Linked DNA regions of Tribolium castaneum. The protein of the gene in region 3 purifies or fractionates together with the protein of the main gene of each other region. This does not show direct contact. Links are inferred from orthologs where the notes say so. Each region holds a gene or a part of one and is shown on either strand. Other genes may lie near its edges. The genes, in order: Pp4-19C, PPP4R2r and protein phosphatase methylesterase 1.

Region 1 (3,753 bases), on a different chromosome or scaffold from region 3:
TACAAACCAAAAATTCACCAAATAAGACGAAAAATGGTGTTTTTTTGAGATAAAAATTAAGAACTTTTTCGAAAACCGGCTAAATTCAGCTAGTTTTCACTTAGTTTCTTAACTAAAAACTCATTTATTTTGCAGTATCACAGACGCCAAAAAATGGAATTGATATTGTTACGTGATTTTGAGATTTCAAAAGTTAAATTTTCAGTTTTTTTGTAAAATTTCGCTAAAACAGATTGAATATTACATTATTTTAACATTTTTCAAGCCATTAGAGGCTCCAGTTTATTGAAAATTTGATAAAATTCCGCGCGGATCTGGTGATTTTTATTTTTTGAGTTGGTAATACTGTAAGCACCACTGCTTAAAGAGCGATTTACACTAGCCGATTATGTCCGACTTACACCACGGAAAAAAGACTGGAATGACTGACTTTTTGGCCATTAATTTTCAAAAAAATTGTAACCAGAAGACTGTCTTTTATTTTTTAATTCTAGTAGTTACAATCACGATCATGTTATACCACTGCAGTAAACAGTAAATAAACATATGCAAGGTTGTTCCAGATAGGTACGCCCATTGTAAAACAACAACAAACAGGCACACCAACCAAACACAATACAAATGTCAAAGGTCAAATAGTAGAGCACTTAAATTTTATTGCAGTTAGGCAATAAATGAAACACATGATTAGCGGGAATTGTTGAAAACAATTTATGACTAAGAAAAAATCTTCTTTTGATAATACTTAATTAATAAAATAACACATTTTTGTCATATTAAAAAAACAAGTTATTAATAAATCTCTAAACCGGTAAAGATGAGACGTTAATTATTGAAACGTAGTTTTTGTATCTCACTATCAATAATACTACAATTAAAAAGTTATTTTTATGGTCGGGAATTCTATTTATTCTTATCAACAACTAACGATTCACCTTGAAAATACCCCAAAAGACCCCAGATTTTGCATGCAGGTACCCCAAACCCCGCAAACGCTGTAGTACAGCCCCAGCCACCCTTGTCCAAGCTACCCCAATAAAATTACCTGAAACAATGAGGGCTTCATTCGGTCCCACCGTATGGATATTTCCCATGTCTCCCAACACCTCGGCACCACACACACAGTCACAAACCCTCCACAAAACCCCCTTAAAATTTCAGGTTAAACATGAAAAAACTCCGCTTTAATTTTTTAAGCCGTAATCATACTACGACCTACTGCCTAACGCAGGCGCACCAACTTTATTTAAACAACCCTAAACGCAATTTCTCCCCAATTTAACCGTCCACCGTCGCTTTCCTGCCGAAATAAGGGTTGAGAACGTGCGCAGAGTAGCGTCGGTGGCGACACGACGCCGCCGCTCAATTGACATTTGTGAGTCAGCCAATCGGACGTATGTCTGAGATTAGGGCATCGGGGTGCTGTGATTAGTGGCTTTGGTGGGGGCTTTTTCGAACTTTTATTGGAAAAAGGTACGGAATTTCGCCAGAATTGTGGGTAATTAGCGTTTCGCAATCGTTTGGGTTCAGTTTTGGGGGTTTTTGGTTAAGTTTGGGTGACCTAACCTCAACTTGTTACTTTTTGTTTTCGTTTGACGTTTGAGCTTGGGGGCCCGTGTTTCAGGCACAATGGGCGATACCAGCGATTTAGACCGGCAAATCGAACAGTTGAAAAGGTGCGAAACGATCAAGGAATGCGAGGTTAAGGCGCTGTGTGCGAAAGCTAGGGAAATTCTTGTTGAAGAGAGCAATGTTCAGAGGGTTGATTCCCCGGTTACGGTAAGCGCAGCCCCCGGAAGGGGTCACGGTTTGGTTCATTGTGACTTGCTTCAGGTTTGTGGCGACATACACGGCCAGTTTTACGACCTGAAGGAGCTCTTCAAAGTGGGGGGCGACGTCCCCGAAACGAACTACCTGTTCATGGGGGACTTTGTCGATCGTGGGTTTTACAGTGTTGAGACGTTCCTCCTGCTACTAGCCTTAAAAGTAGTACCGAAAACGTGACGCAACAAGTAAAAATTTACGATCATTTTTTTAGGTTAGGTACCCCGACCGCATCACCTTAATACGAGGCAATCACGAGTCGCGTCAAATAACCCAAGTTTACGGATTTTACGACGAGTGTTTACGCAAATACGGCTCCATAACCGTATGGCGGTATTGCACCGAAATTTTCGATTACCTCTCACTTTCGGCTATCATTGATGGCAAAATTTTCTGTGTTCACGGGGGGCTGTCGCCCTCCATCCAAACCCTAGATCAAATCAGAGTCATCGACCGGAAACAGGAAGTACCACACGACGGACCAATGTGCGACCTGTTATGGAGCGACCCTGAAGGTAATTAATAGCCCCCTTGAGTCGCTCCCAAATTGAAAAAAAAAATTGGTGGCCAAGTTGGCCCCGAAAAATTATATTTGTGTCCAGAGTTAGTCATGAAAAATCAATGTTGTAGATACCCAAGGTTGGGGCGTGTCGCCCCGAGGGGCGGGCTATCTGTTCGGTTCCGACGTCGTGGCCCAGTTTAACGCCGCCAACGACATTGACATGATCTGTCGAGCGCATCAGCTGGTCATGGAGGGCTACAAGTGGCACTTTAACGAGACTGTGCTGACAGTGTGGTCAGCTCCAAATTATTGCTACAGGTAAAATTACCACTGGGAGCGCCACTGAGCTAGGTTGAAAACAGTAACTTCAAATGTCGGGAAATGTTTATTATGATTGTACGAATTTGGAGGCTTTCGTTTTTCTTATGTCTGTATTTTCGAAAAGTGTTTTTATTTCTGATTGCAACGATGTATCACATGATATGATCGAATGCTGGTTAAAATGGAGAAAAAATATTTTTGCGAAGGATGCTTTGGAAAAAACGCCAACAATTTTGTTTTTAAACCTACTAGATTTTGGAGGTTTATTTGAATTTGGATCTAGAAGCTTCACATCACCACCAAGCCTACTTATTTAAAAATTAAACCACATGATAAACAAACTTACTAAACGATACATTAAATTCGTTACTGTTTTCGACGAAATGTCGTCAACAAAGGGCGTCTAGTTTTTTTTTCCAAACTGGGCATTTGGTAAATTTCGGTTATTTTTTGTGTTTGCAGGTGTGGCAACGTTGCCGCAATTTTGGAACTGAACGAGCATCTGCAACGTGATTTTACGATTTTTGAAGCGGCGCCTCAGGAAACTCGAGGCGTGCCATCGAAAAAACCACAAGCTGATTATTTTCTGTAATAGTTTAGTTGTTCTTTTATAATTGTAATATACATATTATACTCTTGGTCATCTGTTAATTCATAATTAATTCATCAGTTGTAGTTACGTATTTTTTCATGGTCTTCAATTATGTTTAAGACAGTTTTTGTTCCAGTTGTCGATTTATCCCTCTATTGACTTCGAAATTCTAAAACTGTACTTATAGTGAATTTATTTATTTAAAACCATGTATTGTACCATTTGCAGACTGCCAAAATACATTTTTTTGTAAAATTTGAGTTTTATTTCAAAGATATTGCAAATTAAAAAAATAATGGCGGCACTGGCAGCCATTTTGGGACGGCTAATTCAAAACCGTACCCATCGCGTGTGTGATAGCTAAGCAAAAAAGCCTTAAAACGTATAATTAAGCTTTGAATTGAAGGTTTCTTAAGTTTTATGTTTCAAAATCGAAATTTGAAGCCTCCAGTCATAAAAAATCATTTTCCATGAAGCAGTAATTCTTTGTAACAAGACACCCCAAGCATTTGTG
Region 2 (3,753 bases), on a different chromosome or scaffold from region 3:
TATAATATAATTTGTTTATTGTTAAGCCAATTGTATGTAAATTATAGTACAATTTTTCGAAAGAAAAAATTATTTCCGTTTTTAAAATACACCTAAATGCTCAAAAAAGGTAAAATAGCACCATAGCATAATCCTGGGTTTGTTCTGAACAAAATTTTATAAAATATTTGCATTTCTGACTCTAAAACATGCTCATACACACAAAAAATACAGAAAGAATATTTCCAGCTTAATTTTTTGGTCTTGTCTAAAGAAAAAAAATACATGAAAAAGTTAAAAAATAACACCATTTCCAAAAAAATGTACCTTTTCAGATTTTTTTCTAAGAAATTTTGCACAAAAACTAATAATGTTATTTTCAATCTAATTTTGTAATTTTGCTGTAATCTCGAAAGGGAATAAAAAAATAACAACACTTTCTAACACATTTTGAGTTTTTTCAAGTGCAACAGTTAAATACCATCAGTTTCTTTGAAGCGTTTTAGATGTTGCAAAATAAAGGAGACAGGTTTAAAGACGAATAAAATCTAATCAAATAAGCTAAAAAACATCTACTAATCTACTACTACACTACAACATAATTTGCCAATTGATACTAATTTTAATATAATTTTTGCAAAATTATTTTCGTTTTTAAAATACGTCTAAATCCTCAAAAAATGTAAAACAGCACAATTTTTAGCGTAATTTGGTGGATTTTGGACTTGTTTTGACCAGAATTTTATTAAATTTGCATTTCAGGCTCTAAAACATGCTCATTCTCACAAGAAAAAAAAACTTGAAAATGGTGAAAAATAACTCCAAAAATGCGCTTTTACATGTTTTTTCCTAAGAAATTTCGGTTTCTTCTTGAGGCGTTTTAGCAAGATTTTGCAAAATAAATAAAACTAAACCAAGCGAGACAATCTAAGCTGCGTATTTTTTAGATATTCTTTCAAAAGGGAAAAAATATTTCGCGTTAAAAATACGTTTAAATGCATAGAAAATGCATAGAATCACCATTTTTAAAAAAAGCTGGCAAATTTTAAGCTTCTTTACAACAAAATTTTACGAAATATTTACATTTCGGACTGTAAAATATGTCCACACGCACAAAAAAGGAAGAAATAATGATATTTCCGACTTTCTTTTTCTTATTTCTTAACTTTCGGTCTTCTCAAGAAAATTTTGTTAATATAGCTTAGTTAATACTTAAAAAATTAAAAAAAATAACACCATTTCCACACAAATTTTGCGTCTTTTAGGGTATTTTACTACGAAATTTTGTTCAAAAATGAGCAAATTAAGTGAAACCATCAATTTTCATTTATTTTTGTATTTTTTTGGCGCGTTTTAACAAGATTTTTCAAAATAAAAGAGGCGAATAGAACGAACAAAATTTTGTAAAATCTTGAAAAACACATTGCATTTTATTCAAAAACGTGCTTGAAAAGCTAAAAATAACAATTTTAAAATCTATTTACGGTTTTTTGACTTTTTTTACGAAATTTCGCTCCTAAACTAACTACATCGAGGGATTTTGTGATTTTAATGGTTTGATAACAGTTTTTTAATTTAGTAATTTTCGAAGAAATTTTGAAATTACGAAATCACAAAACTTGGTGAAATTTTGCGAGGCCTGGCAACACTGTCCTGAGTGTGACGTGACCATTTAGCAATTAATGTTGCCAACTTCAAACACATGGACACTTTGATCAAAACTTGGTACTTACACAAGACTCGGTGATTTCTTCGGTTTCTGACGAAACGACCGGTTCGACACTGTTTCGTCTCTTTTGGACCCCTGCAGGTATGGCAGTGATGGTAACCGAGACATCCGTCTCATCTGGGTCTGATCTGGTGCAAGTATTTGATGGCACAGGTTCAATCGAAACGTAGGGCTCCTCTGAGCTTCGACACGTTATGACAGTGTCTTGAGACGAGCTGCAGGCCACATCTGGTAGCTTAGACGCGGTGACCACCGTTTCTTGTACAATTGGCTGGGTTTGAATGTCATTACTGTTGCTATTCTCATTTTGATATGGAACATTTTCGTTCTGTAGCAATCTAGGCCAAGCTGGCGCATCGTCCATTTCTTCCACGTTGATGTCATTGCTGCTATTGCTAGTTTCCGGCAAATGTTCCGACTCCAACCCGTTCATAATGCCCTCCCCGTTCTCCGTGTTCCTCCTGCCCCCAGGTTCAGTGGTGCTCACAACTAGGATATTCTTCTCCAGGGCCCTCATGTACTTGTCTATCCGATTGTACTCCTTCCTCGGAGTCGTCAACAGCTCGCAAATCCTCTGTAACGTGAAGGGGGCCGCCGCAAACGTGTCCAACTTCTCTAAAATAAAATTCTTCATAAGGTCGTAATTGAAAATGTCCACGTTGGGACAAGGGGGTATCTCGACCGAAGGGCACGTCTCGTAGAACTCCGTTATAACGTTAATCATCTTCTCGCGAAAGAGGCTCTTTATTGCCGACCACTGGTACACAGGGTCCCCTGTTTTCGCCACAAAACAAAGGTACTCCTCCAGTTCGCGCGGTATGTCCTTGGGCTTGGTTTTCGAGAATTCCTCTAAACTGTGGAGTATTTCTTCGGGATTTTCCATTATTGTTATTGTTTTTTTCGCGAAATTTTAGCACCACCGATCACCATCTACTTGCGTCAACAAGCGCACCAATGACAATAACGAAGTTAGCGCCGGTTCAATATCATTCCACTCAAAGTAGGACGTGATCGACGAACTGCGCAACCGCGCGCCTATTTTAAGGACGTGGTCATTTATCAATTTAAACGCGAGACAATTTTATTTGATTTTAAAGTACAGTCATTAAAAATTATAATCAGCAACAGCGCAAAGTCTAACACGTGTGCAAAAACCGGGTGAGCGACACCGAGATTTCGCTAAAAATATTTTCTCTGCGAACACTCGGATTTTTTGTATAACTGGTTGCATACCCTGTGGTTTTTAATTCAAAAATTTTTTTTAATTTGAATTTAAAACACACCTTAATTATTTTATTACGTGGCACCTGGAATTTAACGTTACGAAGTCATACTTTATACTCTTTTTATTACGCGTTGTTAAATATTTACGTAAGAAATAATCGTTATTTTTTTGTAAACAGGTGTCGCCCACCGAGCTTGAAAATCTGCTCCTGGAGATGCCCGGAGTGGCCGATTGTGCTGTTGTGGGTATTCCGGACGCTTTGGCCGGTGAAGTGCCCCGAGCTTTCGTCGTGCGCCAACCCGGGAGCAGCCTGAGTGAAGACGACATCCTACTTTACATAAACCCCAAAGTGGCCCATTACAAAAAAATCGCCGGCGGTGTTAAATTCGTCGAGTCGATCCCAAGGAACCCCAGCGGCAAAATCCTGAGAAACGAACTTAAAATAAACGCTTAAAATTCATAATTGTAAGAGAAAAATACCTTGTAAGTTTTATTTTGTACATAGCTTTAACGTGGCTTATGAATATGATATACTCTGTTTATCTTTTATAATACCGAATTGTTTGTAAATATATTATTTGTTATGTATTTGTATCATTTTGCGCACGTATGAGGATTATTTTCTTTTGTAAGGCAGCCCTATACCCGAGCGTAATCGCTTTAAAAGATTTGTGTTAATTAGAATTTAGAACTCTTACAGATGCAAGCGGGCGACTTTTGCAAAAAGTAACACACTGGCCCAGATATAAAAACGAATCAACGTATTGTTTCATTTTACTCTGCTTGTATGTGTTTATTTAATTATATAATAGTTACAGTA
Region 3 (3,747 bases):
TCAATCGTGGGAGTCGCCGGCGTCTGCTTTCTCACAGGCGCCGACAACTCCTCCGCCGGCTTCAACTCAATTGTATCACATTCGTTAGCTGCTAAATTACCACTTTGAATACTGAAAACATCAAATTAAATGCACGTGTTAGTATACTGCGAAAAACTGCGACACTCGCTTACGGCTCGTGTCGTAACGAGTGCGAGTGCCTTAGCCATTAAGGGTGTCGATGCCGTTTTCGGATATAGGGAAAAAAACAATGTTAAAGTTTCCGACTCATACAATGTAACTCAATGCGGTTTTCACCACACGATAAAGCATTATCTCGTGTTGACAAGATGTTGAAAAGAATTATAAATTAATTTTTTATTCCACTTTTGGATTTGAATATGTAAAAAATATAATTAATAAATAAACGGTAAGGAACTTTTCGAAATTGTGGAACGCTGGGCGTAAGGTTATCATTCACAAGTATAAACTAAAATATTAACGTAGATAACAACGAAACAATTCGCCGGAAATTTCATACTGAAAAAATTGTGATAATACCGCTGTGTATCTACTTAGTGGATTACAGACACTGACCAACACAGTGATTTTGCATTGTTAGAACAGGAAAGAGCAAAATGAATCATATATTCCCAATTTATCAACTACCAAATGCCGAAGGCAAGTTATTTCAACTTCTCGGGTGTGATTTTATAGTGGTTTTGTAACGTAGTATAGTGACTCCTCTACACTATACTCATAGTATACACAACTTAAACAAACCTGGGCCTAGCCAGAATGAAGAGAATGCACTAAAATCTTTCCAAATCAAATTTAATAAACAAAGTCTTCTGGTCGACCTATCCGTCTCTGAGAAATACCCATTTTTAGCGGCAAGTCCGGATGGCCTTTTGGGATGTGATGGAATTATAGAAATCAAATGTCCTTTTAATGCTAGAAACTTATCTCCTCAAAAAGCTATCCGAACAAATATAAAATTTGCAAAATTAGTTGATGAAAAAGAAGATGACTATTTAGCGGCCCAAAATAATCGTTCGTTTGTGTGGTGTGGACTTCAAAAGATATGATATACCAAAAAAAAAATTACAAAAATTTAGAATTTTGGGAGAGAAATATGTTACCTAAACTCTAATTTTTATTAATTTATTATGAACTTTTGATACCGGCACTTATCAACAGAGATATAATAGATATAATATAAATAGCAACCTACTAGGTTTTTTTGGACGTCAAATCTAAACCATATCAAATAACTGAAAGAACGATACATATAACCAGATAACTATTGCTATGCACTAAGAAGACATTCAATAAGTTGCAACGTGAAATAACAAAGAATATATAAATATGACGATTGGTCGTTATAAACGATCCGTCGTTTATAAGCGATGACGTTACTGTTTTCACTGTACTGTTTTCAGAACTCAATTTCTGTAAATCTTGTATTTCACATCCCAGACAAAGCATTATGATCAGAATGGTAATTTTATGGCCTTGTCAATCATTTTTAAGCTGCTATACCATTTTATTTTTCTAACACGTTAATAATTCTTTCATACACGAGTTTGGAATGTCTCATTATCTTTAGGAAAGCCCAAAATGCGAGCTGCATACCCCGTTTTTTCTACGACCCGACAAAAAAAATTGCAATTCAATTCCAAATTGTCGGCTCGTGGCAATGTGATCATGTTGCATTCCTATGATGCTAAATTACCACTGTGGATGTAAATCAAATATATAGTGTCGAAAATTACGACACTCGACTCCGGCTCGACCGCTCATGATGGGAGAATTGCAATTACTTACCTAATTATTTGGCCCGGCATTGAGACCTTGGCTGCCTCAATGTTGTGAGTTTGGCCCCCTTTGTAGCTGAAAATTAGGCTAAACTTTGTGGAATTTTTTGTGTTAATTTGATTACCACCACTGGATTGCGTGCTGAACACTTTTGAAGGTTGTGGGGCGCCCCCTTAGGATGCTTTGCATGGAGGATAGGGCATCAAGGGCGGTCCCCTCAACCACGTCAATTACACAAAGCCCCAACGTTTTAACCATGTGTGCGCACTGAACAGCAACAGCGCCCCCCATGCTATGACCAACAAATACCACAGGAGGTTCCTCCTCCGAAAATATTGTGCTAAGTACCATAACAACATCTCTAAAAAATTTTTTCTAATTTTGTCGTTTTAAATAAGAAAAACCTACTGAGACAGGGTTTCTAACGATAAGTCACTATCGTCGCCGGACCGGGTGTTCCCGTGCCCCCTTAGATCAATCGCTATGACCTGGCACTCAATATTCGTGGTAATTTCAACCTGAAAATCATTATTAATGTTTGCCCACAACTTTGAGGCCAGTTACAGCAAATAGCGCCCATGTGAGCCCCGAGTAGCCGCCCCCATGGAGGCAGACCACCGCCGGGCCCGAGTCACCCTTTTTATAAACATGGAAAGTTCCACTATCAGTCGTAACATCATCTTCACTGTCAAAATACTGATCCCACTTAAGGGGGGCGAAGTCTTGTTGGTTGGGGGCTAAACTGTACGGAAATAACCACAATACACACAAATTTGCACAAATAACTACATACCCAATGCGTTTCGCATTACGTCCTAAAACTGCTTTTCGTAAATTACTCATTGTAACAATTTGATCGAATAGCTTTTTCTAAACGTGCCACTTTTACTTTTCCAAATTGTTTAATTTAAATCTGGGACGGAAGAGCAAATTTTATGAGAAGTTCGTCCACCGATCGTAAACATAAAACACTACCAACGTCACGGACAAAAAATTCCTGTTACGTAACACGGCGCGCTATTCAAATATTGACAATTATACAGAGTGTTCCAGCAAGGAGGTAGATGTTAAAGAAAGAAATATTTTTTTTCCAAAGCCGTAGACGCTAAACGCCTGTCACTCCTAAATTTATTTTCAAATATACAAGGTGTTTTCGAAATTAGATACAATAAACAATACAATTTTATGTTTTTTTAATGAAACAATTTATACAGGCCGTCCGTATATGAAATACGAGGTCGGTTAAATTAGAGCAAAGTTGCGCATTTTTCTGCTAAACTATTATCTGGAAAATATTTGATGTGTCACTTTTAGTTTTTGAATTATTAAGAAAAATCAAAAAGTCGTAATTTTTGTTTTTATTTTTTTAAGCAAAAACCAAAAGAACTAGACGTTTTTAAGTAGGACGTTCTTCAGGCACATTTTTATATAAAATCTAAATCTGTCATCATCTTTTTCAAGGCGTTGTTGATGTCAGAGTTATAACACTGATCTTATTGACTCTTGTATTTTTGAAAAGTCTTTGTAGATTACAGTGATTACATGATATGAGCAAAACTTACATACTGATTAAAATTAAGAAAAAAGCGCTTTTGCAAAGAGTGCTTTGGAAAAAACATTAAAAATTTCGTTTAACAAACGAGATTTTGACAGGTTTATTGAATATGCGACCAGAATTTTTATAACTTTGTCTTGTTTTGTTTGCGAAGAATAAACTTTTAGCTTTTCATATCATTTAGTATAAATAAGCAAGCTTGGTGGAAAAGTAAAACTTCCAGATCCAAATTCAATTAAACCTCCAAAATCTAGTTTGTTTAGAAACAAAGGTGTTGTTCGCAAAGATGCCTTTTGCTCCATTTTGATCAGCATGTAAGATGCAATCATATCATGTGATACATCGTTGTAATCAGGAATAAAAACACTTTACAGAAATACAAAAAGAAAGAATGG

Evidence for each region.
Region 1: the proteins of protein phosphatase methylesterase 1 (region 3) and Pp4-19C purify together in Homo sapiens (affinity purification with mass spectrometry; 3 studies listed by BioGRID and IntAct, with this or other methods). This does not show direct contact. The link is inferred for Tribolium castaneum from reciprocal best matches to the Homo sapiens genes PPME1 and PPP4C.
Region 2: the proteins of protein phosphatase methylesterase 1 (region 3) and PPP4R2r purify together in Homo sapiens (affinity purification with mass spectrometry; 3 studies listed by BioGRID and IntAct, counting the BioPlex papers as one, with this or other methods). This does not show direct contact. The link is inferred for Tribolium castaneum from reciprocal best matches to the Homo sapiens genes PPME1 and PPP4R2.

The regions. Positions count from the first base shown.
Region 1 is NC_087401.1:11,679,494-11,683,246, reverse strand, and holds Pp4-19C (serine/threonine-protein phosphatase 4 catalytic subunit), read left to right. Parts: upstream 1-1,319; 5' UTR 1,320-1,473; exon of another isoform or gene 1,474-1,498; intron 1,499-1,624; 5' UTR 1,625-1,629; coding exon 1,630-1,779; intron 1,780-1,833; coding exon 1,834-1,986; intron 1,987-2,038; coding exon 2,039-2,339; intron 2,340-2,454; coding exon 2,455-2,644; intron 2,645-3,109; coding exon 3,110-3,239; 3' UTR 3,240-3,494; downstream 3,495-3,753. Other genes in the region: Flo2 (flotillin-2), read right to left, coding at 1,046-1,094. UniProt on the Homo sapiens protein: Protein phosphatase that is involved in many processes such as microtubule organization at centrosomes, maturation of spliceosomal snRNPs, apoptosis, DNA repair, tumor necrosis factor (TNF)-alpha signaling, activation of c-Jun N-terminal kinase MAPK8, regulation of histone acetylation, DNA damage checkpoint signaling, NF-kappa-B activation and cell migration.
Region 2 is NC_087402.1:9,726,943-9,730,695, reverse strand, and holds the start of PPP4R2r (serine/threonine-protein phosphatase 4 regulatory subunit 2), read right to left. Parts: upstream 2,735-3,753; 5' UTR 2,592-2,734; coding exon 1,713-2,591; intron 1-1,712. Other genes in the region: uncharacterized protein LOC107397720, read left to right, coding at 3,112-3,387. UniProt on the Homo sapiens protein: Regulatory subunit of serine/threonine-protein phosphatase 4 (PP4). May regulate the activity of PPP4C at centrosomal microtubule organizing centers.
Region 3 is NC_087403.1:7,977,560-7,981,306, forward strand, and holds the start of protein phosphatase methylesterase 1, read right to left. Parts: upstream 2,812-3,747; 5' UTR 2,641-2,811; coding exon 2,591-2,640; intron 2,540-2,590; coding exon 2,362-2,539; intron 2,316-2,361; coding exon 2,206-2,315; intron 2,159-2,205; coding exon 1,922-2,158; intron 1,873-1,921; coding exon 1,807-1,872; intron 112-1,806; coding exon 1-111. UniProt on the Homo sapiens protein: Demethylates proteins that have been reversibly carboxymethylated. Demethylates PPP2CB (in vitro) and PPP2CA. Binding to PPP2CA displaces the manganese ion and inactivates the enzyme.